Linked DNA regions of Tamandua tetradactyla. The main gene of each other region encodes a partner of the protein of the gene in region 2 in a complex. Links are inferred from orthologs where the notes say so. Each region holds a gene or a part of one and is shown on either strand. Other genes may lie near its edges.

Region 1 (15,035 bases), about 200 Mb from region 2:
ATATAGACAAGCATCTGCACAGAAAGCAGTTTTGGAGGAAAGCCACAGGTGAGGTGACTTAGCATATGCCAGAGGGGCAACAACGTAGTGGATGAAGAGAACCATATCCAGCAAGGGGGCAGGTGGTTTCTGGGGCTACTGGAACAGTCTTGGGAACAGACACTTAAATGGCACTTACTGTTTAAGTCATCAACTACCAATGAATTATGTAACCTATTGACTAAACAAACGGGCTTTGAAGGCTGACCAGAAACAGAACCCCTCCTAAGGACATTGTTTCCATGGGGAAAAGACTTAGAATCCAACTTTTAATATTGCATGCTCAATCTAGGTAAACAGCCTACTGTGGCTCACAACTCTGATCCTTTTAATTGCCAGAATGAAAATACTTCAAAATTTATGTAAGTTCATTAAATCAGGCTTGAATTGGGGTAATGACAGCAGCCAAGGGCTATGGAGTGTCTCAGCACCATATGGGTCTGTAAAAGGGGTATGGGGACAAAGATTTGAAGGGTGGTAGAGCTAAAAGTGAGTCTCAAGAGCACTACGAGGAGGGTGCAAGCTGTGAGTGAGTTGAGGATGGGCCTTTGAATCCCCAAGCCCTGCCTCTAGCCAGCCAGTAAGAAGGCAGTTCTTACCCTTACAGCCCCAGCCCCTGGATCTTCCAGGTCTAAAGTTGCATCGACCTCACTGCTTTGCAGATCTAGAAGCAAAAAAGGAAATTCCAATTGGAATTTTGAAGAATACTTGTATTTGTCTTTCATGAATACCTTTTAGATCAACTGAGTATGCTGACAATACAAATCCCCCTTGCTTCCAACACGCTACCCTTTAATAAGGGCACAAACCATTCATCACTGTTAGGGAGTATTAGTAGGCCAGAGAACATTTAAGAGCAGGAATATGTTAGGAGATGTAAATAAAAACAGATTTTATGTCACCTATAGCTCTTTCAATGATCTCTCATCCTTGAAATTGAGACACACTAGCCTAGCATTGCCCAACAGAACTTTCTGTGACAATGGAAAGTTCTCTATCTGTTGTTCAATATGGTAGCCAACAGCCAAATGTGGCTTCTGAACATGAGAAATATGGCTAATGTGACTCAGGAACTGAAGTTCACATTTAATTTTCAATTAATTTAGCAGCTTCATGTGTAGCTCTAGAGTAAGTATTTCCAATTATTTCAAGCATTCTGGGAAATTCTGGGAACTAATCGTTTATGGAGTTAAAATCTAGATAAATACCAGTGAACAAACATCTGTGAGTAAACATCTTCACTAAGGTTTTCTTTGTAATTCTACTTTGAAAGATTGTCAGTTTTCCCTTTACTGACTTGACAAATATTATGGGTAAGATGCCAGAGAAGGGACTCTGAAGAAGCAGACAGAAGCCAAAGAAAGTCTAGTGTCAAGCAGCAGACTGGTGTTTAAAGACAAACTACAAAACGACTATTTAACTGCTACAATGAGAACCCAGAGAACTGGATAACAGTGAAGGTCAATTCAGATCAGGTCAGGAGAGGTTTCCTGGAGCAGTGCAGAGACAGCAGGTAGCCACCCGGGCTTGCTGGCCATGTTTTGGGCTCCGGCCTTCTATCCTAAGAGCAACGGGAAATCACACTGTGTGATCAGACGCACATATTTAAGGGTGCTCTGGGAGTGGTGGGTGAAATGGGGTTGGGGAAACCCAGATGGAGACAGGAGGGTGGCCATGTAGGTCAGGTTACACTTCAGAGTATTTACAAGGCCAAAATGACAGACCGTGACGTCTTTTGGAGGAGGAATGGAGGAGGTGCCGAGACCACGAGAACTGTGGATTTCTGGCTTACAATGCAGACAGGCCCTCTACTGCAGGAGGAAACAAAATCAAGAGCAGGTCTTGTTTAGATATATTAGGTGCATCCAGCAAAGCCTGCGGAGCAGTGAACACACAGAGGCCTGGGTTGAGGGAAGAGTTTTACCAGAGGAATGGAGAGGAAGGAGAACTCCAAGAGCAAACTGGGCCCGAGGTGAAGAGTTTCAAGAGTTTCAAAAGCTAGTGAGTGGGCAAGTGGGCAACAAAGGAATAACACAAGAAAGCCAGCTGGGTTCAGTAACTTGGTCCCAGGGACTTCACCAAAGGCTGCACATGGGAGACAGGGCTAAGGCAAGATCTAACTAGCTGAGGAGCACACAAGGAAGAAAACTGGAGACAGTAAATACTGAGTGATTTTTAGGAAATTTGGTTGCAGGGAGGGGGGTGAATAAAGGCACACAGCTACAAAGGGCTCTGGGAAAGGAGTTCTTAAATCATGTTTTATACATTCAGGAACAGACTGGAAATGTTTAGACGCTGATGGTGTGTGGCCAGGGTAGAGGGAAAGGGTGAAGATAGGAGAGGGGGGGATGGCTGGATTCCTGAGAACAATGGATTTGAAGGGGTCTGCAACCAAACTGGCTTGAGGGAAGGGAAAGGTGCCCTCCAGGAGAACAAGGGGAAAAAACGGGAGAATGGCAGCAGCTACAGGCTTTCTGTAAAAGTTGGCATTCATGACACCACTCATGAAGGGCACTTAAATTTATTAATTACTTGATACTTTTTTTTTGTTACCAAAATTAAAAGGGATGGGGGTTTTTATTCAAGAAATATCTGAGTATCGTTTACACATGAAGCACCATAGATGCAACTGTGAGCAGGACATGGTTCTCTATCCTCCAGGGATAGAGAAAGTTTTTAAAGTATACTTCAGAAAAAAAATAAAGAGTGATAATAATGCTATGATGCTGTAACAGAGACCTGTGTGCAAGTCTTACACACAGGTAAGTAAAGTAAAAGTAAAGTGATGCCCCCTGTGACCTCATTTTATAGCAAGCTTCACACACAACTGCATGCATGCATGCGTGTACTCACACTCTCTCTCCCTCCGTCCCTCCCTCCCAGGATCCATACACTGTGTGAGGGATGCACACTGACCTTTGCCTGTGGCTTGCACTGGGCCATGCATCCTGTCAACTGGCTCCACAACGAATTCCTCAAAATGCAGAAATGAAGACATGCTTGTTTTCAGTAAGAACACTGAAAACTTTACAAAGCCACTATAAAGTAATATGCCTACAATTGTTTCATTAACATATGAGAACAGACGTTTCACAAGGCTTCTCTTCTCATATGTTCTATTCTAAGAGGCCTCAACAAAAATTCTATCAGGTAGTTGAGCTTCACTTGGACAAAAGACAGCTTTCTTAATGAGTGAGCGAGCAGGGCAAGTGAGAAGCAAAGGCTCAGATGTCAGAACCTCTGCACTCAAGGCAAGCCTAATGCTGCAAAGTGTGTGGTTTGGCAAGAACTGTGGCAAACAAAAAGCCAAAATGAAATGGAAGAAAATTGTCACTAGATCATCAGAAATAATGCAAGGCTCCCTGTCCTCCTGAGACACTGATCTTAGTACAGTGCAACATTCATTATGGTGTCATGAAACCTACTATTCTCTTCCCGTGGGAGGTGTTGGACCCCAGCTGCCCCTTGGGGATGGGTTGTCTTGCTGAGCAGCTCACAGGGCAGGGTGGCCATCTGGCCACACCCTTGTGGAGGCCATGCTTCTGCTAAACCAGAAGCCTCACAGGTCATCTTAATGAACATCACCAATGGGTTCTCAGATTGGCTTCGAGATTTTAGAAATTATTCTATCCTTGCAATTAAATAGGAGAGTGAGAACATGTTGTGGCCTGCTCCAGAGATAGACTGAGGCTTCATCCATCAGGATCCCTTGCTTGGGTCTGGCCCGGGTGATTTCTGGCCACCCCAAGAGCACTAGCTGGAAGCTGACTTCTGTCTCTGGAACAATGCCACCTTCACCTCGAGTTTAACTCACATAAAGTAGGGCTGGATCACCTATGACAACAGACAGGTGGGGTTTCATGAGTTTACAGAACAGGGCGTCAACACCTTCTGGCTGTCAGGGCCTGAATGTGTGGCAGAATTGGGCTTTACAATTACAACGAAGCAGCCAATCCTCTGTGTCATACACAGAGAACCCAAGAACTGTTCGACCAAATTGGCTTAGGGTATTCCCAGCCTGCCACATTCTTTTTGCCTCTTACAGCCTCAAAGGCAGCAAGCAACAGGGGCAGTATTGGGATTTATTTAGGAAAAGGTTAAGGCAGATATGGGTGGTCAGCAATGGTAATTTCAGTGAGGCTGTAGATATCCAAATTGTAATTCAAGTCTATGCCCAGATTTCTAATATCAAGAAAGGGTCTTGAAAATTTTTAGACCTCAGGCAGGGGTCTACCAACACTTAATAAAACTCTTAAACAAATCTCAAGATAAAAACATTTTTCCATCAGGACCATCCAAATATGGCTTGGTTCGTAGGCATCGTATTATGTGTCATATTTAAAGAGAACAAAACCTTTGACATAATAATCCCATTTCCTGATATTAACTGGAAAGGGGTGATATTGCTACTGGGAAGTGACAAGGACCAGGGTGTTTCTATGAAGACTATTTATGACAAGGGCTTTGTAAATAAAGTTTTATTGAATGCAGCCATACCCATTCACTTACTCATTATCTGTGGCTGCTTTCCCTGCAAGGGTAGAGTTTGAGTAGTTGTGACAGAGATTATAGAGCTAAAATATTTACTATCTGGCCCTTTACATAAAAAGTTTGCCAACCCTTGATTTATAATAACGGAAGGTGGCAAATACTTACATGCCTAACAGGAAAGCAGTTAAGGAAAATGGTGGTTGAATTATACAGCAGATGAAGGGTGCACGATATATTAAGTAGAAAATTGGTAACAAAATGTATGTATGTATAAATATGTACATTAGAAACAGAATCATATCACACTAAAATATCACTAGTGATTACATCTGTGTGATAGAAGTCAGGCTAACTATAATTACTGTATTTCTAAAATTTCTATGACTGACTGTATTATGTGTGCTTTTAAAACAATTAAGAAGAAAATTTGGTTTCGGATATGTCATAAATTGCTCTGTAACCTTAGTCTTGATGTTTGTATTCTTGGGTCTAGGTCCCTGACCTGTGGAAGGGTGAGTATGTGGTGCTTGAGAAGCAGTGATTCAGAGAGCACCACACATCCTGGCAAAGTTACTATCCCCTCAAAGACTCCCCAGTCTCACAGCAGGACTATACACTACATCAGCACATTTCATTAAAATAGGAGATCACATCTGCAATGTGCTTGGATGAATTAGGGTAAGAAAACAAAGAGGTCTTCTGAAAGGTGGAGAGATGTAGAAAGAAAAAAAGTATGATCCTATACACTGAACCTTTTCCCTGTAATCTGTCTTTTTTTCCCTTTCAGTACCTCTGAAAGGAATTTTTCTTCCCTAGAAGGAACTGGATTTGGTCTTTTCTGTGAAGACCCAACAAAGTAAAACCTGAAAAGTGGAATGGTGAGATGGTTATCCAGTGGGAACTCCCAGCCTTTCCAAGTATAACCCAATCAATTCAGCTGTGAGGGAGCCCTTCTACCTAGGACAGAGGAAACAGAAGTTACCAAAAGGGCTCTACCGGTTTGAAAGGATTATGTACCCTAGAAAAGCCTTGTTTGTATCCTGATCCATTATGTGGAATCAGCTGTTTCTTTTAATCCCCGTTCAGCACAGTAGGTTGGAACTTGATTAGATTATCTCCACAGAGATGCGGCTTGCCCAATTAGGGGTATTAACCTTTGATTAGAGGGAGCTGTGACTCTACCAACTCCAGGTTGGTCTTGATTAGTTTCCTGGAATCCTTTAAAAGAGGAAGCATTTCTTAGAAAAAGCTAGAGAACCACAAGACCCACTGAGCCATGAGAGAGGAGAGCCAAGAGAACCACAAGGCCCACCTTTGGAGATGAAGGAAAACACCCCCCGGGGGGAGCTTCAAGAAACAAGAAACTTGGAGAGAAAGCTAGCAGACATCACCATGTTCACCATGTGCCTTTCCAGTTGAGAGAGAAACTCTGAACTTCATTGGCCTTTCCTGAGTGAAGGTAACCTCATGTTGCTGCCTTAATTTGGACATTTTCACAGCTTAGAACTGTAAACTCGCAAATTAATAAATTTCCCTTCTTGAAAGCTTCTGTTTCTGGTATATTGCATTCCAGCAGTTTGCAAACTAGAACAGGCTTTATAACCATTTCACAGGCAACAGAAGAAAAGCTTCTCAGCAAATCCCTGAAACAGGGCTTTTTTTGGGGGGGGGTGGGGGGGTGTTACATGGATTGGAAAGCGAACCCAACAGGAGAGCTTTAAGGTGAGAATACCATGAAGCCGACTGGAGGTGGCAGTGAACTGCTGGTCTTTGCACAGCAGGAGACTCAGCCCACCCATCCCCAGACACATCCTGCTCCTTCACAGCAGGGCATTTTGGCAATAAAATTTGACATTAAATACCTGGATTTGTGCTGTGCTCATTTCCTTTATGAGTCCTCCACCCCAAATTCTCAATCCTTAAGAAAAGAAATAGAAATTACCATTTTAGTCATCTGAAGACAGAGTTTCTACTAAACCTGCATTCAAAGAAACCCAGGCCAAGCAAAGGCCAGACTTCTGATATAGTCCATTAAACCTTTGATGTTAAGGCTTTTTTTAAAAATCAAGATTAGGCAAACATTTGTCATTACAGAAAACTTCTCCTACCTCATAGACAGCAACTCATCAAATTACATCATCGAGCCATCAAATTAAATGGAATCAAGGAACATACACAAGCCAGGTACTGCCCTCAAATACATATATATCGAGGACAATCTTTATAGTAGGTAGAAAGGGGTGAAGGACTTCATCTTGCCTTAAAACTACATTTTCTACTAGGCAAAGGCAAACTAAGAAAGGATCATGGCACTGAGCGGCTTGAGGTGGCTGTCAGTGATAATACCACAGCTGTGGTTGTATGGTGCTTTCTAGGTGGCAGGACCTGTTCTAGCACTTTCCAGGCAGATCCTGTTCAGTATTCATGTCAAGCTGGTGACAGATACAATTCAATACCTCTAAGGCCCTGTATGATAGGGACTTATCATGCTCATGCTATAGATGGAGACCCAGAGGCAGGGAAAAGCATACCTGGCCCAAAGTCACCTGCTATGTGGTAGAATCAAGAGATGAATATGGGCAGTAAGACTCTGTGCTCCTGACCGCTGCTCTGGCATCTGGCCTTTCCAGAACAGTAATGCCTGAGCACACGGGCTCTGACTCAAATTGAGGCTTTGCCACTTTGGCTAAGTGATACGGGACAAGTTATTTAACCTTTCTCTTTCTGCTGTATCTTTCCCTGTTAAGTGGTGATGATTCTAAGACTACCTCGTAGAGTTGTTGACAATACAAAATAGGAAACTCTTAGGGGTGTCAAGCAAAATGGTAAATTGTCACTACACAGGAACGATGATTATCTCCCTGCTATCCTCAATGTAATTGATGGGGTTCAATCTAGACCCTATGGTGTTGTCTTAACCAGGAATTCACACTACAAGGTGGTCAGGAGAAAGGCCCCTTCCCTGACTGAATGCCTCTCCGCATGAGGTCAGGGGACCCCAGGAGCTTGTGAAGTCTCTTGGGTTCTCCACTGGATCAGCAGTGAGGCCCAGGAATCTGTTTTAGCAAGCAATCTGACTTTCCATGCTGAAGTGGGAGAAGCACCGCTCTCAAGGTGTTCAGGTGCTTCAACTGTTCAAACTGGAGTCTGAAATGAGCTTTCACTGGTGAAATCAGTGGTCCTCAAGACCTGCGGAGTACAGATGGGTTGGATTCCTAAGCCACGTTAAGTCCTGAAACCCAAAGGGGTCAGCCTCTCCAAGAATATCAACTAGTTCCATCGCCCTATCCCACATTATCAACGGCTCTTTCCAACACGAAAAAGCTAGAATGGGCATAGCCCAAATGCCCCTAAAGATCGGGAGAAAAATCAAAGGAGAAGGAGGAGTTATAATAGGGAAGAGAAGATTTAACAAATAAATATGACTACTGAAACATTATATTGATACTTCTTTTAGTCTTCAGTGTCTTAGAGCAGGCAGAAAAAGAAACCTAAAATTGTGGAACTGTAACCCATACAAACTCTGAAAACTGTTCTATAAGTAATCGTTGTAGTGTGCTTTGAAATTTACTGCTTTTTTTGTATATATGTTATATTTCACAATAAAAAAACAAACAAACCAACAAAAAAACTGTGGAGAGGCCAAACCATTCTAGACACTGGCCTCCTGGCCAGAACATAGCCCAGCCTGTTGTCTGCACTCTTAGGAGCGGCACTGCACAACCGATTCCTATGCTACTGTGTCCCGCCTCTGGGTTGGATTTCCCATGGCCTGATGCAGACAGGAGAGGGGAAAAAACCTGTCTCCACCTCTTGTTAGGTTCATGTATTATGGGATCAGCCTAAATGACACAGAGCTAAGACCTTATTTAACAAACAGGAGCAATGAACTGGTTTTTGCTTGCTTGTTTAAGCCAGGCAGAATTTGATCTAGATCTGCTTTCATTATAATTAGTAGCGATTCTGATGTAAGGCGGTATGGGAGGAACTTAGCTCAGCCACCGTGAACTTTCTCCAGCTATTTACCGAGAAGAATCCATGACTAGCAGGTGATCCGACTGGTTTAGGCTAGTTTGCAACACTAACCATTTAATGGAAAGGCTTTCTCTACATTCAGATTAATTCTCAAGTAGACCCTCAAGGACTCTAGGTAACACTCCAAGTCAAACAGGGCAAATAACATTCGACTGACAATTTACTATTACCAGGTACTGTTCTAAGAGAGTCACAAACACTGTAAATCACACTTACACCACCACACCGGGTTGAAATTACTGTCATCATTCTCCCCATCTTACAGACAAAGACAATGAGACAGAGGCAGACCAAGCAACGGGGCCGAGCTGGCATGCCTAGGATGCCAGCCCAGGCAGGGTCATTCTGAACCAAGATGCATCTACTCGTCTTCAGAAACTGTTGGAAATACCTCATTTACGAGTTTGTTTTCCTAAGAGGGCACGGAGGGCATTTCAGACTGTATGAAAGCACCACTCAAAGGGGGGACCTCGTACCCTGGGGCGTCTCGTAGGTCAGCGTGGCCATCTGCACCAGCGGGGCGTCCTCGAAGGGCCGGTTGTACTACGGGGGAGGAAAGGGCGTCGCGTCAAGATCCGGTGGTCGCGAGGAGTCCCTGACTCCGGCCGAGGAGGAGTCAGCTCAAAGCCGGAAGTCTGGGGTCCCCATTCCCGACCCCCTCCGACAACCGCGACACTCAGCGCCGACTCTCGCCCAGCTCCCACCTCGCGGGACCCACCCCTCCCCGCGGCCCGCCGCACCTTCTCTAGCAGCTGCTGCATGCGCCTCTGGAAGCGGCGGCGGCTGTCCCGGAGCTTCCCCACGAGCATGGCCTCCTCTTGAGCCTCGTCCTCCATGGCGCCCGCCGGTATCACCTCGATTCCAACGCCTACCCGACCGAGCGCCCCCCTCTCAGCCCTCAGCTCAAAGAAGCCGCTACGCACCCCCACCGGCCGCCCTTCGGGCTTTCTATTGGCTGGCGTTGTGTTGCGGGGAGCTGATTGGTTCTTTCAAACCTGTTTACGTCCCTGTTTCCCAGCCAATCTGCGCTCGGGTCTCCGGGTCCCGCCGTCCCCGAGGCGCGCGTTGGATGACGGGAGAATCCCGGGTCGCTCTTCCGGTCGCTTCCGGGCCGTTTAACGGTTAGTTCCGCGCGAGAATCCTGTGAAATCCGGTCCTTTCAAACGTTGGACATGTGAGAAAATTGCAGCTTGGACATGTCAGGCGGCTGGTTTGACCGTGGCCCCTCGTCCTCCGTCACCCCAGACCCCCGCCCTGGGCGGGCTTCCTCCTGCCCCCGCCTCGGGCCTGGCGCGGCTGGAGGTGGGAGGGGTCTAAGAAAAGCTAGATAGACTAAGTTACGAATTTGAAAGGAGGCAGGAAGTGAATAGTCACTTAGAGTCAGAAAAGAAACCCCAACACATTGCACGTTTACAAATGCCAAATGCCACGGACACGATAGAGTCCGGAAAAGAGTATCTTCATTAAGAATTTCCTGAACACCCATTTATTTTATTTTTATTTTTAAACTGCATTTACTACTGCTTCTTCATGCGAGATTGCTCAGGTAACAAAATCTCTAGACAATAGATAATTCAGTGTTTCCTCCAGTATGGTTACTGGAAATTTATTTTTTATCACTGACATTTTAGGAAAGTTTTATTCAGCGTAATAGCTCATTGGAAATGTCGGGTAGATTTTTAGGCCTGTTCTCAAGGATGGGAAAGACTCAATTTTCTTTCATATGTGTGGTATAAGATTTTTGTAGAATTTCAGATTAACTTCTGCAGTGTTTTATCTCAAACAGTATTTGAGTTGTTGACTTTGAAGAGCTGCCCTAGTAGAAGGCACGCTCTTCCTGGAAGCCTTTTCTGCACAGTCTTAGTAGCCAAGAACTATAGTAACCACATGCAAAATGACTTTTTAAAATGTAAACATATCCTACAAAACCCAGTATATTCCCACCTCTGTATTCTTTTCTGGCTGGCAAAACTGCTGTCAGCTACTCCACCTAGTGGGAGGGAGGTGTGACAAAGAGGAATAAGGGAGGGCAAGGGGAGAGAAACTGGTCCCAACTGTGGCTAAAATACCCTTTTGCAAATTTTATGGTAGTTAAGGATTGTGTGTCCCCAGTCTCTGTAGGGGCTGTGCAGGAAGGAACCACTTTCACTAGCTCCATGATAAATCGGCTCTGCCCTGCCTCTGATCTCCCTTCTCTAGTGTGTCCTCTGCTGCCAGAATCATCTTTTTCATTCTTTCTTTTTAAAATGGAAATGTCCTGGTGGTTCTTTTCTGATAATACATGTCCAATGTAAAGAAATTAAAAACAGGAAGTAAAAATCCATAATCCCCCCTCTAGTCTCATGCCTGAGACATCACTTTGTTAAGATTGGTTCAACATTTTACTATGCTTATATAAACACATTTTGACATATAGAATATGTACATGTATGTCAATAGACATATATGTAGATGTATAGATATATATAAATGCAAGTGTCTGTGTTCTTATGTAAATTGTCTTTTACTTATATACCATTAGTGTATTTCAAATGACAATACATATAGGTCTAAATCATCTATGTTATTTCACTGTTTGGTGGTACCATGGTTTACTTAACTGATCCTTTTTAATGGCCATTCAGAATGTACCCATTTTCACTATAATAAGGCAGTGAAGATGACCCCAGCCTTATAACTTAAATCCTTAAATCCTCCTGTGTGGATGTTCACCTGGTAATTGATCCCAGGTACCTGGCCCAGAGACTGTCCTCTTTCAAGTTGCCCATGCATTGAGGACCTCTTGTCTGCTGACCCTCTGCTTCTGGGCTCTTGCCCTGCCCTCTGGCTGCTCCATTGGGGGCTGGGAGAAGGGGAACCTCAGTCACTAAGGTTGTGGGAGCTTGTTTGTTGGCTACAAATGAGCTCCTGGGACTATTAGGTTATCTGTACTACTGGACTGAGGAGCCCAATAGCAGGAGTGAGAATCGGCTTGAATAGAACTGTACTTCTCTTCCTCTGATCAAGATGAGACAGTAAACAGCATAAAACACAAATTCACTACAAAAGAAGGATAAGAAGAGAAGTAGAGGAGGGGAGGCTGATGAGGAATATGCTTTGGAAGCCTAATAATTCTAGGAAACGAGGTATTTTTAGAAGAAACAGAATGCCAGAGCTCAAAGCAGAGCTAATGTGATAACAGAATGGTGTGAGTGAATTGCAAGACCTGAGGAAAGAAAGGGGTTGGAAGAATAGAAATGAAAGGCACATCAGGTACAGAAGATTATTACAGCTGAAAAACAGATACAGGAGTGTTAATGAGAGGGTTGAGAAAATCACAAGAGAATCACAATGGAAAAGAGCAAAGTTAAAAAGTGAAAAGAGAAAAAAGAGGATGTATTTGGAAGCTAAGTGTTCCGGTTTGCTAAAGCTACTGGAATGCAATATACCAGAAATGGATTGGCTTTTACAAAGAGGCTTTATTACATTACAGATTTCTACTTCTAAGGTCATGAAGTGTCTGAATTTAAGGCATCAACAAGATGATACCTGAACTCTGAAGAAAGGCCGCTGGCCTCTGAAACACCTCTGTCAGCTGGGAAGGCATGTGACTGGAACCTGCTGGTCCTTGCTCCTAGTTCGTTGCTTTCAGCTTTTGATTCCAGTGGCTTTCTGCGTCCTGCGGGTCTTTTCTTAGCGTCTCCAGGTCGTTTTTCTAAGTGTCCATGGGGGTCCTCTCTTAGCTTGTCTGGAGCAATCTTTAGATTTCATCTCTTAGATTCTCTCAGCTCTCTCCAGGTTCTGGGTCCTTCAGGTTCTGTGGGTTCTTGCTTAGCATCACCTAGAACGTTCTGTCTCAGCTTTCTCCACAATGTCTCTCTCTTAAAGAACTCCAGTAAGTGGATTGAGACCCACCTTGAATGGGTGGGATCACATCTCTACGGAAATAACCTAGTCAAAGGGTCCCACCCAACAATAGTTCTGCCCCCACAAGATTGGATTAGAAGGCCATGATTTTTCTGGGGTACATAGTTTCAAACTAGCACAGTTGCTGAAAAAAAAAAAGAAAAATAGATATTTAAAAAATTATAGAAGAGAATTTGTCTGAAATAGAAGAAGACTTTAATCTGGGCATCTAAAAGGTTTACCGTACCAGGAAAATCAGTAGAGAACAAATCAAGACCAAGATATAGCTTGATGAAGCAGATCAACCTTAAGGATTACATTTTTCTTTTTTTAACCATAAGGATCCAGGTAGAGAAAGCACAGCGCCTATATGAAAAAAGTCAGCTAGTTTTTTTGTCAAGAACCCAAGGATGTCAGTGGATGGATATTAATGGAGATGTGAGAGAAATAGGATGTGATACAGGAATTTTTATCCATACAGAACATCACTCGAGTAAAAGCAATAGGAAAAAATTCCTAAATATATAAAGACTCAGGAATTAAAGCACTTAGAAACCTTTCTTGAAAAATTTACTTGTAGACATAATCCATAAAATTGGATCAAAATTAAGAGCTCAAAAATGGTGGTACAAAAAGATTATCAGGTAAAATTGAATGTAGTTAAACATAGAATTGAGTGTTAATAACTGTTATTACCTTGTTGAGCAGAATAACGTTGCTGCAATTCTTGAAAGAAATGCTACAAAGTTTTAAAAAATCGATTGGCAATAAACAACAGTTAAACTGTTGGTAGAAGAGTAAAGAAGGTGTTTCTGATTTCTTCATGGGGGGAGCTAAGTTACAAGTTTGGTTTTTTAAATTGGTCATTAAAAAATAAAAGTAGGTTGTTGTATAATAATGTAGAGGAAATAACTAGAACTGGAAACTGAAACTGAGGTCTTTGCATCCTCTCCTAGGGAGAAGGTAGAAGATTTGTGGGGTTGTTTATTTTAATTTTTGGACGGTCTGCTGTATCCCTTTCACAGTTAATACCTTACTAACATTCATCTTACTCCATGTTTGTGTAAACCCATGGTTGCTTAAAGCTGAACCTTTTCTGATAACAGCTGAGCAATACAAGTGACTGCTTAAGACTACGTCTGTTCAAAGATTAAATAATATCCTCAGCAAAGGGGAATTACCAGTTTACCTTCTTGGCATGGGAGAAGATATATGACACAGTTTTCTTAGTTATATTAGCTTATGTAGTGGTGCCAGGATATGGGAGCTCCAGATAGGTTTGATCTCCCTGTGGGAGCCTCCTGGAAGAATCTTGTGGGAAACTCATGGACAGCTTCAAGGGTGAGGTTTCTCAAGATCATCATAATCCCCCATTAGAGTCTCAGACAATTAGAAAGCAATGAGACTAACTTTGGGGATAGTGAGAAGGCACTGACAAGTCCTGTGTAGGTCAGAAACACTTGTTTCTGTCATTCTAACCTCTATCTGAATTAAGTGCCTTCGTGGAAATGACGCAGTCCTCTGTAGCTAGGCTTACAAGAGTCAAAGAGCCCTTAGTAATTATTTTCTAACATGGGGGGGATTGGGATGGTGTGGGGGACACAAATATCTGGGGATGTTTTAGTCAGAATTATCTAGGTCATGCTGCAATAACAAACATTCAAAAAATTTTGGCTTAAAAGAATGAGGGTTTATTTCTTGTTCATGTAAAATCCACTGGAAGTCCAGATGACTCTTCAGGGTGTCTTTTCTCCTCTCTTGGCTTCTGTGATCTTCTGGCCCCTCCATATCATCCCAAGCTTCCACAGTCAGTGTAGCAAAGAAAGAGCATGTAGAGTCATCCTCTGACACTCAGAGGCTTCCATAGGGACAAGGCATCTATCGCTCCTGCTCCCATTGCATTGACCAGAACAAGGTAATTGGATGTGCTAAACTTCAAGAGGTCAGGGAAGCATAATCCTCTATGTCTCCAGAAGTGGAGAAGAACTAGGTAGCATTCAACCAGTTATTAGTAATATTTACCACTTGGAAAAAAGCAAACAGATTGACAGAAGTGGTCTCCTTTCTTCAGAGCACAGCAAAGGGGGCAGAGGGCTACTAGTACTCAAGTACCAGACTGGAGTAGAGAGCTGTAGAGAGCACATAAAGATAAAGGGCACAACTGATGCAAGGTGCCCCTTGTCCTTGCTATGCCTCTGTCTTTTAACATCTGTTCTGAGTTTAGCAAGTCAGACTTCCATCAGCCTTATTTGTGTGCTTATCATGGTTATGTGGTTAAAAAAATAAAAGCATAACTTTGAGAACCAGAAGTGACATAGTTGGAGCTCTTCACCCCCTCTTAGCCTGCACCTCAACTCTATCATACAGAAATCTTGGGAAAACGTGGGGTGAGAGGAAAATCAGTGTCTACAAAATGTATTGAGAGGGACGAAGAGATGGACTGCCCCAGATAACCCCATAAGATTCCTCAGCTGCTGGAGACACTGTCAGCAGACACCTTCAGCTGCAGCCTCTTCAGAGATGGCTTCAGCTACACAGACGTTCATTCCATTGGCCTACATCTAATGAGCAGTCAAGGTGGGAAC
Region 2 (15,035 bases):
TCTACAGGCTAGAATTTCTGAATAACATTGATAGCCATTCAGTGGAAGGAACTAGAATATTAAACCCCAAATATTTTGTATTTCAACCCCAATTAAGTTTTTGAAAAGCTATAAATTTGTTGACAGGTACAGTCCACTCAAAAATTTGATGTCCATAAAGGTGAGATTAATCTGGTGGATGGAGATTTACATACCAGACATGCTGGACCCTTCCATGCAACTCAGTGGTTGTCTCTTAATTTTTTCCCCTACGATTTAAATAAAATGAAATATACACATGGTAAAAATTCTAAGCAGTACAAAAAACTCTATAACAACAAGAAAATGTCCTTTTCTCCATTAACAAGCAAATTTGATGTCTTCAAAATAATTATAACAGTCATACAAATAATTTGTAACTGAAGTCAACCTTGGAGTCTCTTATCTGAAGATAACTCAGGTGTCATTGGAATTGTGTTGATTGTTTCATATATTACTTCTGTTACAGTGGAAAGCCATGCAATCTTCAGTCTTCTTTAAAAAAAAAAAAGGGCAAAGCAACATAGCAGAACACACATACTGCCTGGCGATAGGAACTCTAGGCAGCACTCAGCTCCATGGATCTGCTCATCGCTACAGGGAGGGTCTTTGAAATTTTACTAACATATTTACTAACAAGGCATTTTCACAAGGTTAAGAAAAAGTTCTCTTAAAATGAGATCATTTGGTCCTTATAAAATGGAAAGCTTAACTCTGTCAGAGATTCAGTTCGTCTGGTCATTACTTAGCAGAAAAATATCTTTATTTAACATTGGACAAAAGGCCTTAGCCATCATGACCCACGCATAAATTTAAAAATAGGTCCAACCTTTGCTAAAGAACAGAGGGAAGGCAAAACAACCAGGGACTAAGGATGGAGAAGGAAAATTCCTTCTGAGAAACTCTATCTCCAGTGATGAGAAGCTAGGTATTTTTCCTCCAAAACAAACACTTGCTCTCTGGGTGAGCAGGAAAGGCTTACAAGAGACACTGGCTGCAGGAGCTCAGCCAAGTCCAGCTTCAATTCCTCGGATCCTTCTGGCCAGTTGCACATCCTTCGGGAAAAGGGTGACACGGCCAGCATGTAAAGAGAGGAGATAGGCGTCCTCAAAGAGATGAACTAGAAAAGTTTCTGCTGCCTGAGGGCAGAAAGAGAAACAAAAACACTGACAAACAAGGGGGCATGGGCTGTGTCATGGTTAGGTTCATGTGTCACTTGGCCAGGTGGTGGTACCTGTTTGTCTGGTCAGGCAAGCGCTCCCTGTCTTTTGCTATTTTATAGAATTAAATCATGACCACATCAGCTACATCCACAGGTGACTCCATTTGTAATCAGCCAAAGGGGAGTGCCTTCTGCAATGAGTGATGCTTAATCTAATCACTGGAAGCCTTTTAAGGAGGATTCAGAAGAGACAAGCTCTCTTTCTGCTTTGGCCAGCGAGCCTCTCCTGTGTTCATTCAGATCCTCCATCGAACTGTCAGCTTCACAGCCTGCCCTACAGATTTTGGACTCTTCGGTCCCAGGTTACGTGAGACACTATTATAAATTTTATATTTACGAATATTTCCTGTTGATTCTGTTTCTCTAGAGAACCCTAATTAATACAGGCTGCTTCTTCTCTTAGAGACCTGTCAATGTAGCCCCCCAACCCTGAGGTGTTACTTTATTGCTGTTTCCAAGGAGGCAAGATTCAGTATGTGACACTCCACAAGTGCTAAGCGCTGGTAGGCAAGTGGAACTGAAGAACTCTTTTTCCTCCCATACGCACCCTCACCCACCTGTACCGTGACCACTTCTTACCTCTTGTAGGGCCAACAGAGCCTGGCCTTGCCAGTTCAAGTCCACACCGCGAGAGAATATAGTACATATTTCTCTTACCTATGAAGGAGTGGGAATTTCCATTATTCCTGGCCCTTAATCTTAGGTCCTAACTCAGTAGCAGGTGATGACTCTTAGGACCTTAGCAGCTACCATATCTCTCATTGGTGGTGGGGAGGAAAATGAGAGGTAATCTCCCTGGGTAGGGAAAAGGATCAAAGGGTGAATGGATTAGAGGAATCCTATGTATATAATGAAAGAACCCTGTCTCAAAGGCCCTTGGAGAAGCTATCTTTCAAAGACAGAGTCCCCTCAAGCTAAAGAAGGGGTCCCAGAGCCATGTAAGAAGAGAAGGCTGGTTCCCCAAAGCCTGGGAAACATAAAGGACGGCAGCATGGGGGTTGGTGGGACGCTCCTCACCAGAAGGCTGAAGGGCCGCTTCCTTATCAACAGTTCTGTGCTCTTCTGAAGCTTCTGGATCTCCTTCAGAATCCGATGTCTCCGCACACCACGCGGACGGGAGGAAGTGCCTGAGCAAAGGAAAACGTTGTATCATAAAGGTAAAGTGCAGTGGAAAACAAGTGGTGCCTCACAACACAGCTGAGAGGGCAATTTCAACACTAGACAGTAATACATTCCACAACAGCAGGGATTTTTGTCTGTTTTATTCACTTCCATTATCTTCAGCACCTAGGCAATCGCAGATAGATGAATGAATGAACAAATGTCCTTTGAGGTTTAACTCATGTATCAATTCTTCCAGAAAGTCTTCCCTGAATCCTGATCTCTTCCAAAGTGATGGGTCACCTCCCTCCCTCAAGGCTCTGGGCCCCAAAAGTACCTTGTGCATTGCTTATATCTTACCCACTTACATTAGAAAAACACTTATTTTATTTTGTCTTTTCTTTTTTTTTAAGAGCTGTAATGTAATCCCCTTGACTTGGTTATTCATGGCCTACAGAGGTGAAGATAGTTGGCCAGGACTCTGGTGGCTAAGTTGGGACCTCACAAAGATGATAGCTCAGTGAGAGCCATGTGGGCTAGATGGCTCCAATCCCAGTTCCAACCAAAAGGAAAAAGTCTTAAAAACACTCCCAAAAGTAGTAATCATAAAAGCCAAATTCTCTGCTCAAACTATACTGAAACTAAAAATCACAAACCCAAGAATAGAAAAACCAAAATTCTCCTGAATTTCTCTTGGGTTAAAGAGGAATCCCATCTGAAATTAAGATAATTTAGAAATGAACAATAAAAAGGCTTCATCTTAAAAAGCACAGCTAAGAAGTAGTACTACAAGGAAAAGTATAGCCTTAAAATGTCTATTAGAAGATAAATGGAAACTCCTCAAAATTGAATATTTCAGTGCTACAAAGTACATTGTCAAAAGAGTGAAAAGGCAGCTGATTCAACGGGAGAAAATATTTGGAAGCCACATGTCTGTAAGGGTTTGATATCCAGAATATATAAAGAAATCCCACAACTCAACAATAAAAAGACAAACAACCCAATTAAAAAAACAGACAAAAGATATGAATAGACACGTTTCCCAAAGAAATACAGATGGCTAAAAAGCATGTGAAAAGATGCTCAGCTTCACTAGCTATTAGAGAAATACAAATGAAAACCACAATGAGATATCATCTCACACATACTAGAATGGCTACCATTAAACAAACAGGAAAGTACAAGTGTTGAGAGGATATGGAGAAACAAGAACACTCATTCACTGCTGATGGGAATGTAAAATGGTACAGCCACTATGGACGATAGTTTGGCAGTTCGTCAGGAAGCAAAAGAGTTGCCTTATGACCCAGCAATCTGCTATTTGAGATATACCCAGAAGATCTGAAAGCAGGGGCACAAACAGACATTTGCACACCGATGTTCAGAGCAGCATTATTCACAATTGCCAAAAGATGGAAACAATCCAAGTGTCCATCAACAGATGAATGGATAAACAAAATGTGGTAAATACATGTGATGGATATTATTCAGCAGTAAGAAGGAATGAAGTCCTGAAGCATGTAACAACATGGATGAACCTTGAGGATATTATAGTAAGTGAAATAAGTCCGACACAAAAGGACAAATATTTTATGATCATATTTTGAGATCATATTTTATGATCTCACTGATATGAACTAATTATAATATGTAAACTCGTATATTTAAAATATAGAATCTAACCTAAAATATAGGTTACCAGGATATAGAATAATTATAATATGTAAACTCATATATTTAAAATATAGAATCTAACCTAAAATATAGGTTACCAGGATATAGAATAAAGCTAAAGAATGGGGAGCAGGGTGGGCCACGGTGGCTCAGCAGGTAAGAATGCTTGCCTGCCATGCCTGAGGACCCGGGTCCGATTCCCGGTGCCTGCCCATGTAAAAAAAAAAGTAAAAAAAAAAAGAATGGGGAACAGTTGCTTGATATGTGTAGAATGTTTAACTAAGTTGAACTTCAAATGTTCGGAAAGGATAGAGGTGACAGTAGCACATTATTGTGAGAATAATCAACAGTACTGAATGGTGTGTGAATGTGATGGAAAGGGGAAGTTTAGAGTTATGTATGTCACCAGAAGGAAAGTTGGAAGTTAAAACATGGAAATGTATAACACAGTGTATCTTGTGGTGGACAATGTCTGTGATTAACTGTACAAATATAAAAAAGTTCTTTCATCAACTAGAACAAATGTACAACACTACTACAAGGAGTTAATAATAGAGGGGTATATGGGAAAAGCATTACAAACTATGGACTATAGTTAACAGTAATACTTTAATATTCTTTCATCAACAGTAATAAATGTACCATACCAATATTTTATGGGTCAATAATATGGGCAGGGGGGAAGGGGTTTGGGAGGATTTGGGTTTTTTTATTTTTATTTTTCTGGAGCAATGAAAAAGTTTTGAATTTGATCATGGGGATGTATGCACAACTATGTGATGATACTGTGAGCCAGCAATTGTATACTTTGGATGGTTTGAATGGTATGTGAATATATCTCAATAAAATTGCACTTAAAAAAGTCTATTATAAAACATAAATATTAAAAGATATATGAGGTAAGCATTCAAGTGTTACAAAGAGAATACTAAAACAAATGGTAGAGCAAAGAAATATTAAAGATAATATATTAATGAAAAAGGGTAAAACAAAATCCTATAGTTGCTCAATAAATAAAACCAAGGACCCATAAAATGGACAAACCTTTAAGTTAAAGAATAAAAAAAAAGAAAAAAACATACAGAAACTAACACTGCGGAGGATAAAATGAACTTCAGAAATGTTATTTGAAGTCCAGCAAAGAAAAGAGAACCCATGCTGAGCAGTTCAATAGAAGGGACTTAATTAATAATAGAAGGAGCAAATGGGGGGAGGTGAGGCAATCCTGGGAGGATTTGTGCCCAGCAGCTGCCAGTGGAGACTTTATCCCTGGGTGGGAAGAGGAAATATAAGCCAAAGACACAGGGCAGTGTCCAGGATATGCCTGGTGACATTTAGGAGAAAGGAAAAAACCCATACCTAGGAGATACACTACTCACTCACTTGCTCCACTTCTCCCCTCCTCCCACACCCCCCCCATCACTAGAGGTCGCCTTTAGTAAAAAGAACAGTTGCAGAAAATGTAAAGATGAACACAACTAAAAACCAAACAATTAAAGAAAGCTCACACCATGAAAGAAAGGAAGTAAACTCAAGAAAGAAAATAAGCAAACCAGAAGAATGTGTTAAATAGAGTAAAGTGATAGACTTTGAGAGTAAATGAAACATCAGAGGGTAAGAGAAGATATGAAATCCATATGAAGCCAAGGGAACAGAATGTTTTAAGCAGAAAGTAGCCCATCGTGTTAAATGCTTGAGACATAGCAACGTGTCTATGGATTTGTCAACAAGGGAGTTGTTGGTGACCTTGACAAGAACCGTTTAAGTGGAGTAGAAGTGTAGAAGCAGTGTTTGGGGGGGGGGGGGAGTCAGAATGGTTGAAGGGTGACCAGGAAGTGAAGAAAGAAACAATGGGGATAGACTCAATGAGTTTTAATGAGCTATTAAAAAAAGGGTAGCTATGAAGCAAAGTAGAGAGAAATGAGGAATATGTGGGATCAAGGAAGCACTCCCGTCCTTTGCTTAATATCAGAAACATCAGAGCACATTTGTAGATTGACAGTATAAGGAGTTTGAATTTAATTCTGAGTGTAGGTGGAGCGGATTAACAGAAGGCCCTTGAGAAGGTGAAAGGAGGAAATGACAAAAGCCAAGGAGTAGCTTTTGAAATGAAAGGGGACATGTAGATTCTGTTATGAGAAGATGAGGAGAATTCAGTCTGAAGTCTTCTATTTTCCCAATGGAACATGAAACAAGGTCATCATGAGCTAAGAGTGTGAGGTGCAATGAACAATCCAAAAGGATATATAAAAAACAATCCCAGTTACAATATCATCTAAAAGAATAAAATATTTAGGAATAAATGTAACTAAGGATGTAAAAGATTCATACAGCGGGAACTAAAAAACAATGCTCAAAGAAATTAAAGACCTAAATAAATGGAAAGACATCCCAGGTTCAAGGATCGGAAGGCTTAATTTCACTAAGAAGTCAATATCATCAAAAATGTTTACAGATTCAATGCAATCCCAGAAATTCCAGAAGCCTTTTTTTTTTTTTTTTTTTTTTTGCAGAAATGGAAACATCAATCTTTAAATTCCTAAGGAAGGATAAGGGGTACCAAAAAGCCACAACCACCTTGAAAAAAGAAGAACAAAGTTGGAAGACTCACACGTCCTGATTTCAAAATGTATTGCAAAGCTATAGTGATCAAAATAGTGCGGTACTGGCGTAAAGACAGATATATGACCTAATGGAATAGAATCGAAAGTGTGGAAATAAAACCACAATCTATGGCCTACTGATTTTCAACAAAGGTGCCAAGTCCATTCAATTGGGAAAGAAGAAGGTCTTCAACAAATGGTGCTGGGCTGCCATGCCAGAGACCCAGGTTCGATTCCCAGTGCCTGCCCATGCAAACAAAACAAATGGTGCTGGGTAAACTGTTTATTCACGTGCAAAAGAATGAAAGTAGACCCCTACCTCACACCATATTTTAAAATTAGAACAAAACAGACCAACCTAAATGTAAGAGATAAATACACAAAACTCCCAGAAGAAAATATAGGGAAAAGTCTTCAGGACCTTGTATTAAGAAATGAATACTTCCATAGGACTCTAAAAGCATGACAAACAAGAAAAAACAGATAACTTAGATGAAAAACTTTTGTGCAAAGGACATTAACAAGAAAGTGAAGACAAGCTACAGAAAGAGGAAAAAATTGGAAATCATTTAACTAAGAAAAGTTTAATATCCAGGATACACAGAGAACTCCTACAACTCAACAACATAAAGAAAAACAACTTAATTTAAAAAATGGGCAAAGTGCCACCTCCCCTATGTGGGACATGACTCCCAGGGGGTATGTCTCCCTGGCAATATGGGACGGGACTCTGGGGATGAGATGGACCTGGCATCATGGGATTGAGAAAGCATTCTTGAGCAAAGGGGGAAGAGAAAAATGAGACAAAATAAAGTTTCAGTGGCTGAGAGATTTCAGAGTAAAGAGGTTATCCTGGAGATTATACTTACGCATTATATAGATATCCCTTTGTAATTTATGGTGTATTGGAGGGGCTGGAGGGAAGTACCTGAAACTGTTGAACTGTATTCCAGTAGCCCTGATTCTTAAGATGATTGTGGAACTATATAGCTTTTAAAGTATGCCTGTGTGATTGTAAAAACCCTGTGTCTGATGCTCCTGATATCCAGGGTATGAACAGATAAGTAAAAAACTAAGGACAAAAAATAAATAAATAATGGGGCCAGGTATAAAAGGTAAAAAAGTGGGTAGATTGAAATACTAGTGGTCAATGAGAGGGAGGAGTAAGGGGTATGGGATGTGTGAGTGTTTTCTTTTTATTTCTTTTTCTAGAGTGATGCAAATGTTCTAAAAAATGGTCTTGACGATGAATACACAACTATGTGATGATACTGTGTGCCACTGATTGTATACTTTGGATGGATTGTATGTGTGTTAAGATTTCTAAAAAAAAAAAAATGGGCAAAGAACTTGAATGGACATTTCTCCAAAGACATGCAAATGAAAGCTAAGCACCTAAAAAGATGTTAATCACCATTAGCCATTAGTGAAATGCAAATTAAAACCACAATGACATACTACTTCACACTTGCTAGGATGGATACTATTTTTTTTTTTTCAATAGCAAATGCAAGCATTGGTTGAGGATGTCAGGATGCTGAGAAACAGGAACCCTTGCACACTGGTGAGTATATAGCGGGGCGGCTGCTGTGGAAAACAGTTTGGCGGTTCTTTAGAAAGTTAAACAGCAAATCACCAAATGACCAGGCAATTCTTACTTGAATATACCCCAAATAACTGAAAACAGGGATTTGAATAGATATGTGTATGACAATGTTCATAGCAGTACTGCTCCCAATAACCAAAAGATGGAAGCAACCCTTGTGTTCATCAGATAAACAAAATGAGGTGTATACATAAAATGGGATATTATTCAGCTATAAAAAGGAATGAAGCAGAGAAGGTAGTGTTAAATAAATACTATGATAGCTGAATCATTATATTAACATTTCTTTTAGCCTCCAGTACTTTAGAGCAGCTAGAAGTAAAACCCTAAAATTGTGGAACTGTAATCCATACCAAACTCTGAAATCTGTCCTACAACTAATTGTTGCGATGTATTCTGAAATTTGTTGCTTTTATGTATATACGTCAAAGAAAAGGAGTATAACAGAGAACATAGGATTTAACAAATGAGTATGAGTGCTGAATCATTATGCTGATATTTCTGTTGGTCACCAGTGTTTTTGAGCAGCTGGAAGGAAAAACGAAAAATCGTGGAACTGTAACCCATATCAAACTTTAAAATCTGTTGCTTTTTTGTATATATATTTCACAATTAAAAAAAGTTAAAAAATATTTTAAACAATTACACACAAAAAAAGGAATGAAGTTCTGATACATGTCACAACATGGAGGAACCATGAAAATGTCACGTTGAGTGAAATAAACCAGATTTCGCTTACGTAAGATACCCAGAATAAGCAAATTCATACAGACGAACACATTTTTAAAAATCCTCAGTCTGCCGAACTAGCCGTGTTCGAGCTTCCTGGCCTGGGTGAGCCTCAGTTTATTTACTCTGTAAAACGGGGACACTATAAAGAGCTTAACTCCAGGCCTCGTTAGTGGCAGGCACTCAATAAAAAGTAGGAACAAGAGGAACTGTGGTCAGGGACCTAGTTTCCCAGGCCAGTCCCCGGCGCTTCCCAAGGCCCTCGCGGGCTTGGCTCCTGGCTGAGCCCCAAAGGATGCCGGGAGCCGGGGAAGGACGCTGGGTCCGCGTGGGGAGGGTCCGGTCGGTCTCCGCTCGACCCAGAGAGACGCGTCCCGTCCCGGTTACCTGAGGGGGTGGCCCGCCGCGGGGTGCCGGGGGTCGCACTCTCCCGGCGCCTCCGGGGGGTTTCCGGCTTGCGGCTCCGGCGGCGCGGGCCCATGGCGGAGGGGCCCCGGCGCCCGCCCCCGCGCCAGGCGTCCGGGCCCCCGCTCGCTCTCGGACTTCTGGGGCGAAGGGAGAGTTTCTGGGGGAGGCCCGGAGAGCAGCCCGGCCGCGCGCCCTGGAAGAACCCGCAGTGAAGGAAAGGTAGCGCAGTGGTCGCGTTCCAACAGCCAGCACCGCGCGCGTCGTTTAAAACTCACAGCCGGCGGCTCCTATTGGCTACCTCGGGAATGCCCACGGCGCAGAGCGACTGCGGAGAGGACCAATGAGAGCCTAGGCGGACGGGGCGGGCCGACGGTGCAACCCGCCAGTGGGCACTCGAAGAAGTGAGAAGAGGCGGGGGTTGTGCTACCCTCAGCTCGTTGGTGGCTGTGCTGCGATGCACGCTTGTAAAACCGGAAGCGCGATTCTCAAGATGTAGGTGATACGTTCGTAGCAGTGTTTCTCTGTATATAAATCAAACATTTATGTTTTGCCCTATCACTCTCGCGAGGTGGCATTTAAAGATGAAACAGACCTATTAAGAGAACGTAACAGCCCCATGTCGCGCCTGTGACCCTCCCGGTACATCCCACAAGTATGTGTGAACTTGACTGATCCTTGGGGCCGCGGGGACCGCCAGGTTATCGGGCGCCTGTGCTGTGAAGGCCAGGCAGGGCAGGCCTCGCCCCAGGGCTTGGATCTCACTTTCCACGTTGCAGTAGGATAGTCCCAAGGAAGTGATCCCATCCTGGCCTGGTGGGGATAATACGAATTTAGTTCATATGTCTGGGTAGTTAAAGGGGATTTTAAGTTTCTACACTTTGTGTTCTTGGATTTTCTGAATGTTCTATAGTGAACGTGTAACATTTCAGAAGGGTTAGTTAAGAAATCAGTAATTTCAATTTAGCCCTTTTGCAGATCTGTGAGAAAGGTCCTAGGCATGATCTTTTTGGGGGTGCGGGGAGTGGGGGATGGGGGATTATGGTCCCTGAATAGAACCTGGGTCTCCCATGGAAGGCGAGCATTCGACCACCGAACCATGGGCATGGTCTTCTGAAGTCAAGGAAGTCAAGCCAGATTGGATGCTCCAGTCAGCTTTGCCCATAGGTGTGAGGACAAATAAGTGACCTTTCCCATGCCTCAGTTTGCTCATCTAGCAAATGGAGGTAATATGAGTCATCGAAAAGATAAATTGCATGAGAAAAATAATAAAAGCACTCAGCCAAAGGGCTGAGGTCCTGCTGCCAACCTCTGGTACAGGTTTGAATCATGATGGAAGGAAGAAGGAAGGGCAGTCGTTTGGTAACACTATTGTTAAGACAACTATGATGGATAAGACTCTCCTTGGAAACTCCTTGGTGGAGGGAGTTGGGTTGAGGGTATTTGGAGTCTTCCTCAAGAATGTGGAGTGGAATCATAGGGAATGGGTGAGATGTGAAAAGGTGGTGATGAGGGAAAGAGAAATGTGGTGTCAAGCAGAGGTCACAGCCTGAGAAGAGGTGAAATACGACAAGTGATTTGGAGAACAGAGGTTGTCATGTGTGAGTGGATGTTGGTGATGGGGAATTATTGACCTCCTCCTCAGAAGATGACATAGAATGGAGAGTGAAGCTAGAGCTTGTGTGATTTTACAAAGGTGACAGCACTTTGTTGAGCTACAGGCTATATGCATATATATATATATATGTATATATATATTTTTTATACGCGGGCAGGCACCGGGAATTGAACCCGGGTCCTCTGGCATGGCAGGCAAGCATTCTTGCCTGCTGAGCCACCGTGGCCTGCCCTGTATTTTTTTTTTTAAGTGAGGTTGTTAAACTGTAATATTCCTTAATTCCATGACTTCACAATTCTCTAACAGAAGGAGTGGGAAAGGACATTAGGGATGTCAACCAAGAAATAGCAAACTAAGCTGCAAGATAACAAAAGGGTGTATTTGGGGTCTGTGTTGGTTTTGAAAGGATATATGTACCCTAGAAAAGCCATGTTTTAATCCTCATCCCATTTTGTAAAGGCAGCCATAGGTCATCTCCCTGGAGATGTGACTCAATCAAGAGTGGTTCTTAAGCTGGATTAGGTGGAGACATGTCTCCACCCATTCTAGGTGAGTCTTGATTACTTTACTGGAATCCTCTAAAAGAGGAAACATTTTGGAGAAAGCAGGAGGTTTGGAGAGAGCAGAGAGAACGACATAGCCACAAGAAGCAGAGAGTCCACCAGCCACCCGCCTTTGGAAATGAAGAAAGAAAACGCCTCCCGGGGAGCTTCTTGAAAGGAAGCCAGGAGAGAAAGCTAGCAGATGACGCGGTGTTCGCCACGTGCCCTTCCAGCTGAGAGAGAAACCCTGAACTTCATCAGCATTCTTGAATCAAGGAATCTTTCCCTGGATGCCTTAGATTGGACATTTCTAGAGACTTGCTTTAATTGGACATTTCCACAGCCTAAAAACTGTTAACTTGCAACTTATTAAATTCCCCCTTTTAAAAGCTATTCCATTTCTGTTTTATTGCCTTCCAGCAGCTAGCAAACTAGAACAGGGTCTTAGAATTCCAATTCAGGGAGCCCAGATTCAGGTAGCAACTCGAATTATGTTTCCTCTTGGTGCTTCCAGGCAAGGATTTTAAAGAAAAAGGAGATTACATAAATTGTTTGTGTTTGTGGATATTTGGGATGCTCCAGATGTCCCTCAGGTTAGATAGTTTACTGAGTTCTTTATCTTATGGTTTCTTTCTGGTGTCTGGATGTCCTTGGGGTTTTGAGGAACAGTATTACCTGAGGCTGTGCATACCTTGCCAATTTGTGATACCTGGTAGAGAGGTACATAAGAATAACTTCCAGAATGAACTCCCAACTCCATTTTAAATCTCTTAGCCATAATAACTTTATTTCGTTTTATTTCTTTTTTACAGGGGAAAATATAGAAAAGTCAGAAATTTAATTCTGACCTTTCTGATTCGGGTACAAGCTGTCCACTGACTGTGTGGGGTAAAATATTTCTCATTAGCCTAACCTAGCTCTGAACCCATTCCCCCCTCCTACCTCTCCCAATAGGAAGACAGATCACTGTAGAGAAGGACTAGGGACTGGTAATGTACTCATAAATCATAAGAGCCATCACACACAGCTGGTTGAAGTCTTTTGGCTAAGGGAAGTGGATTTTCACTGGCCATGTAAAAAGTTCTATCTAGAGCTGAACTGTCCAGTATGGTAGTCACAGGACACAGATGGATATTGAGCACTCAAAATGTGGTTAGTCTGAATTGAGATGTCTTGTAAAGTGTGAATACACACTGAGTTTGGAAGACACTGCAAAAAATATATAAAATACCATTTTTTATATTGCTTAAATGGTTAAATAAAAAGCTGTTGGAAATATTGGGTTAAATAAAATATGTTATTAAAATTAGTTTTATCTGTATCTCTTTACTTTTGTAATGTGGCTCATAGAAAATTTACAATCACAGAAGTGGTTCACATTATATTTCTCTTGGACAGCACTGAAATAGAAGGGATAACTTTTATCTGCACACTGAATTCAGTTTTTCATTATTCATTTAACAGACACCTGTTGAGCATCTTTTATGTGCTAGCTACTGCTATAAGGGTTGGAGCTAATTCAGCAAATGGGACATAAGCCCCCATAGTCCTACGTTCTGGTGGGAAGGAGAAAGACCACAATAAACAATGAATTAATAATGATCCTATTACAGACTGTGGTAAGTGCTAGTATGGAAATAAACATGGTGATTTAATAGGGTCACTTGGGGTGGGAGGTGGCAGCCTACTCTAGAGAGTTGGTCAGGACAAGCCTCTATGAAGGCCAGATTTAAACTGAAGCAGGAAGTACCAAAAAGAAGAGCTAGGAGAGCGGGAAGCTGTTCCAGGCAGAGGGAACCGAGTGCAAAGATTCTGAGGAAGGAGAGAGCTTGGCATATTCCGGGAAACTGAAAGGAATCCAGAGAGGGGAGAGTGGAAGTTTCGAATAGGGTTAGGACGCTGAGTTTTATTCTAAGTGCACTGAAAAACCACAAGGTGACTTTGGACACGGGAGCGACATGATTTCATTTACATGAGGGAAAAGGTTGTAGAGTTGACCCAGATTACTTCCGCTTTGAAGATCCTTGGGGGGAGTCAGCCAACAGGAAAGCTGCAGCTAGGATTATAAATGGAATCACGTTCAGATCTGACATATCCCTTGAAAACTCACACTATTCCAGGACTCATGCTGGGTGTTAGAAAGCTCTGGAAGGGCAAGGCTAGTTCTTGTCTCTTCAGCTTTCCCAGCATCCACCCTGTGTCTCATCCCTGTTAAATGCTCATCAACTATTAGAGTAGATGAAAGATGAAGTGAATTGCGGATCATCTCATTATGAGGCCAGTCCCCATTCTGGATTAGATTATTTTCTTACTTTGTCTTTGTGTGCAAGTATTAGTCTTTGGCAGGGATTCTTACCACAACCTGCCTGTTTTCCTGGGTCCAGACATCCAAGGGGAGGGAAAACACAAGGAGAAAAAAAGAGAGAAAGAAAGAGAAATATGGTTAGTTTAGGATTTTGTACCAATCAGTGAACAAGTTTTCTCAAGAGATTTTGTTAGAAATCCAAGATTTCATCGACTAAAAGGTACTTTAGTGCCACTTCTCCCATTAAGTTGAAAGGGCCTTGCTCTATCCAAGGATAAATATATGCATAGTTATCTATAAATAGAATACACACTGTGCTGGTTTGAATGTCCCCTAGAAAAGCCATGTTTTAATCAAAATCCCATTCCCTATTCAATACTGTATGTTTGAAACTGTAATCAGATCATCTCCCTGGATGATGTGATTTAGTCAAGAGTGGTTGTTAAACTGGATTAAGTGACGACATATCTCCACCCCTTTGGGTGGGTCTTGATAAGTTTCTGGAGTCCTATAAAAGAGGAAACATTTTGGAGAATGAAAGCGATTCAGAGAGAGCCAGAGAAGAATGACGAGAAGAGAAGCCGGAGAATGACATAGCCACAAGAGCCCACAAGCCAGCGACCTTTGGAGATGAAGAAGGAAAACACCTCCTGGGGAGCTTCATGAAACAGGAAGCCAGGAGAGAAAGCTAGCAGACAATGCCTTGCTCACTATGTGCCCTTCCAGCCAAGAGAGGAACCCTGACCGTGTTCACCATGCCCCTTTCCAGATGAGAGAGAAACTCTGTTTGCCATATGCCCTTCCACTTGAGAGAGAAACCCTAAACTTCACTGGCCTTCTTGAACCAAGGTATCTTTCCCTGGATGCCTTAGATTGGACATTTCTATAGACTTATTTTAATTGGGACATTTTCTTGGCCTTAGAACTGTAAACTAACAACTTATTAAATTCCCCTTATAAAAGCCATTTCTGGTATGCTGCATTCTGGCAGCTAGCAAACTAGAACACACACATTTTCTTTTAGGACAATATTTATATTAGAAATAAATATGAATGTATTCATACATGCTTATGCACCAGTGGATTTTGAATCAATTAGTTTTACTATCACTGATATTTTGTATTTTATTTTCCCAGTTTTCATATTGGTGCTCAATATTTGGGAAACCAGGGCCTTATAAAGAGTACAATTTTATGAAGTTAGAGACACAG

Evidence for each region.
Region 1: the proteins of CENPA (region 2) and HJURP are in contact, whole or in part, in a crystal structure (PDB 3R45), measured with the Homo sapiens proteins. The link is inferred for Tamandua tetradactyla from reciprocal best matches to the Homo sapiens genes CENPA and HJURP. Residues at the interface, in NP_001800.1 of Homo sapiens: Lys64, Leu65, Ser68, Arg69, Arg72, Asp83, Phe84, Asn85, Trp86, Gln87, Ala88, Gln89, Leu91, Leu92, Ala93, Glu96, Ala97, Ala100, Phe101, His104, Glu107, Asp108, Leu111, Leu112, Leu114, His115, Ile132, Glu136; in NP_060880.3 of Homo sapiens: Glu14, Asp15, Leu18, Lys21, Leu22, Ser25, Arg26, Arg28, Phe29, Arg32, Met33, Leu36, Lys39, Tyr40, Pro43, Phe44, Thr47, Pro48, Val49, Val50, Gln51, Met52, Ala53, Thr54, Leu55, Ile65, Trp66, Gly67.

Annotation. Positions count from the first base shown.
Region 1 is NC_135329.1:210,907,665-210,922,699, forward strand, and holds the start of HJURP (Holliday junction recognition protein), read right to left. Parts: upstream 9,525-15,035; 5' UTR 9,402-9,524; coding exon 9,306-9,401; exon of another isoform or gene 9,157-9,305; intron 9,109-9,156; coding exon 9,042-9,108; intron 6,449-9,041; coding exon 6,393-6,448; intron 3,014-6,392; coding exon 2,956-3,013; intron 704-2,955; coding exon 639-703; intron 1-638. Other genes in the region: TRPM8 (transient receptor potential cation channel subfamily M member 8), read left to right, coding at 9,635-9,686. UniProt on the Homo sapiens protein: Centromeric protein that plays a central role in the incorporation and maintenance of histone H3-like variant CENPA at centromeres.
Region 2 is NC_135329.1:10,542,212-10,557,246, reverse strand, and holds the start of CENPA (histone H3-like centromeric protein A), read right to left. Parts: upstream 9,435-15,035; coding exon 9,341-9,434; intron 2,368-9,340; coding exon 2,258-2,367; intron 1,898-2,257; coding exon 1,820-1,897; intron 1,158-1,819; coding exon 1,023-1,157; 3' UTR 1,001-1,022; exon of another isoform or gene 249-1,000; 3' UTR 1-248. UniProt on the Homo sapiens protein: Histone H3-like nucleosomal protein that is specifically found in centromeric nucleosomes. Replaces conventional H3 in the nucleosome core of centromeric chromatin that serves as an assembly site for the inner kinetochore.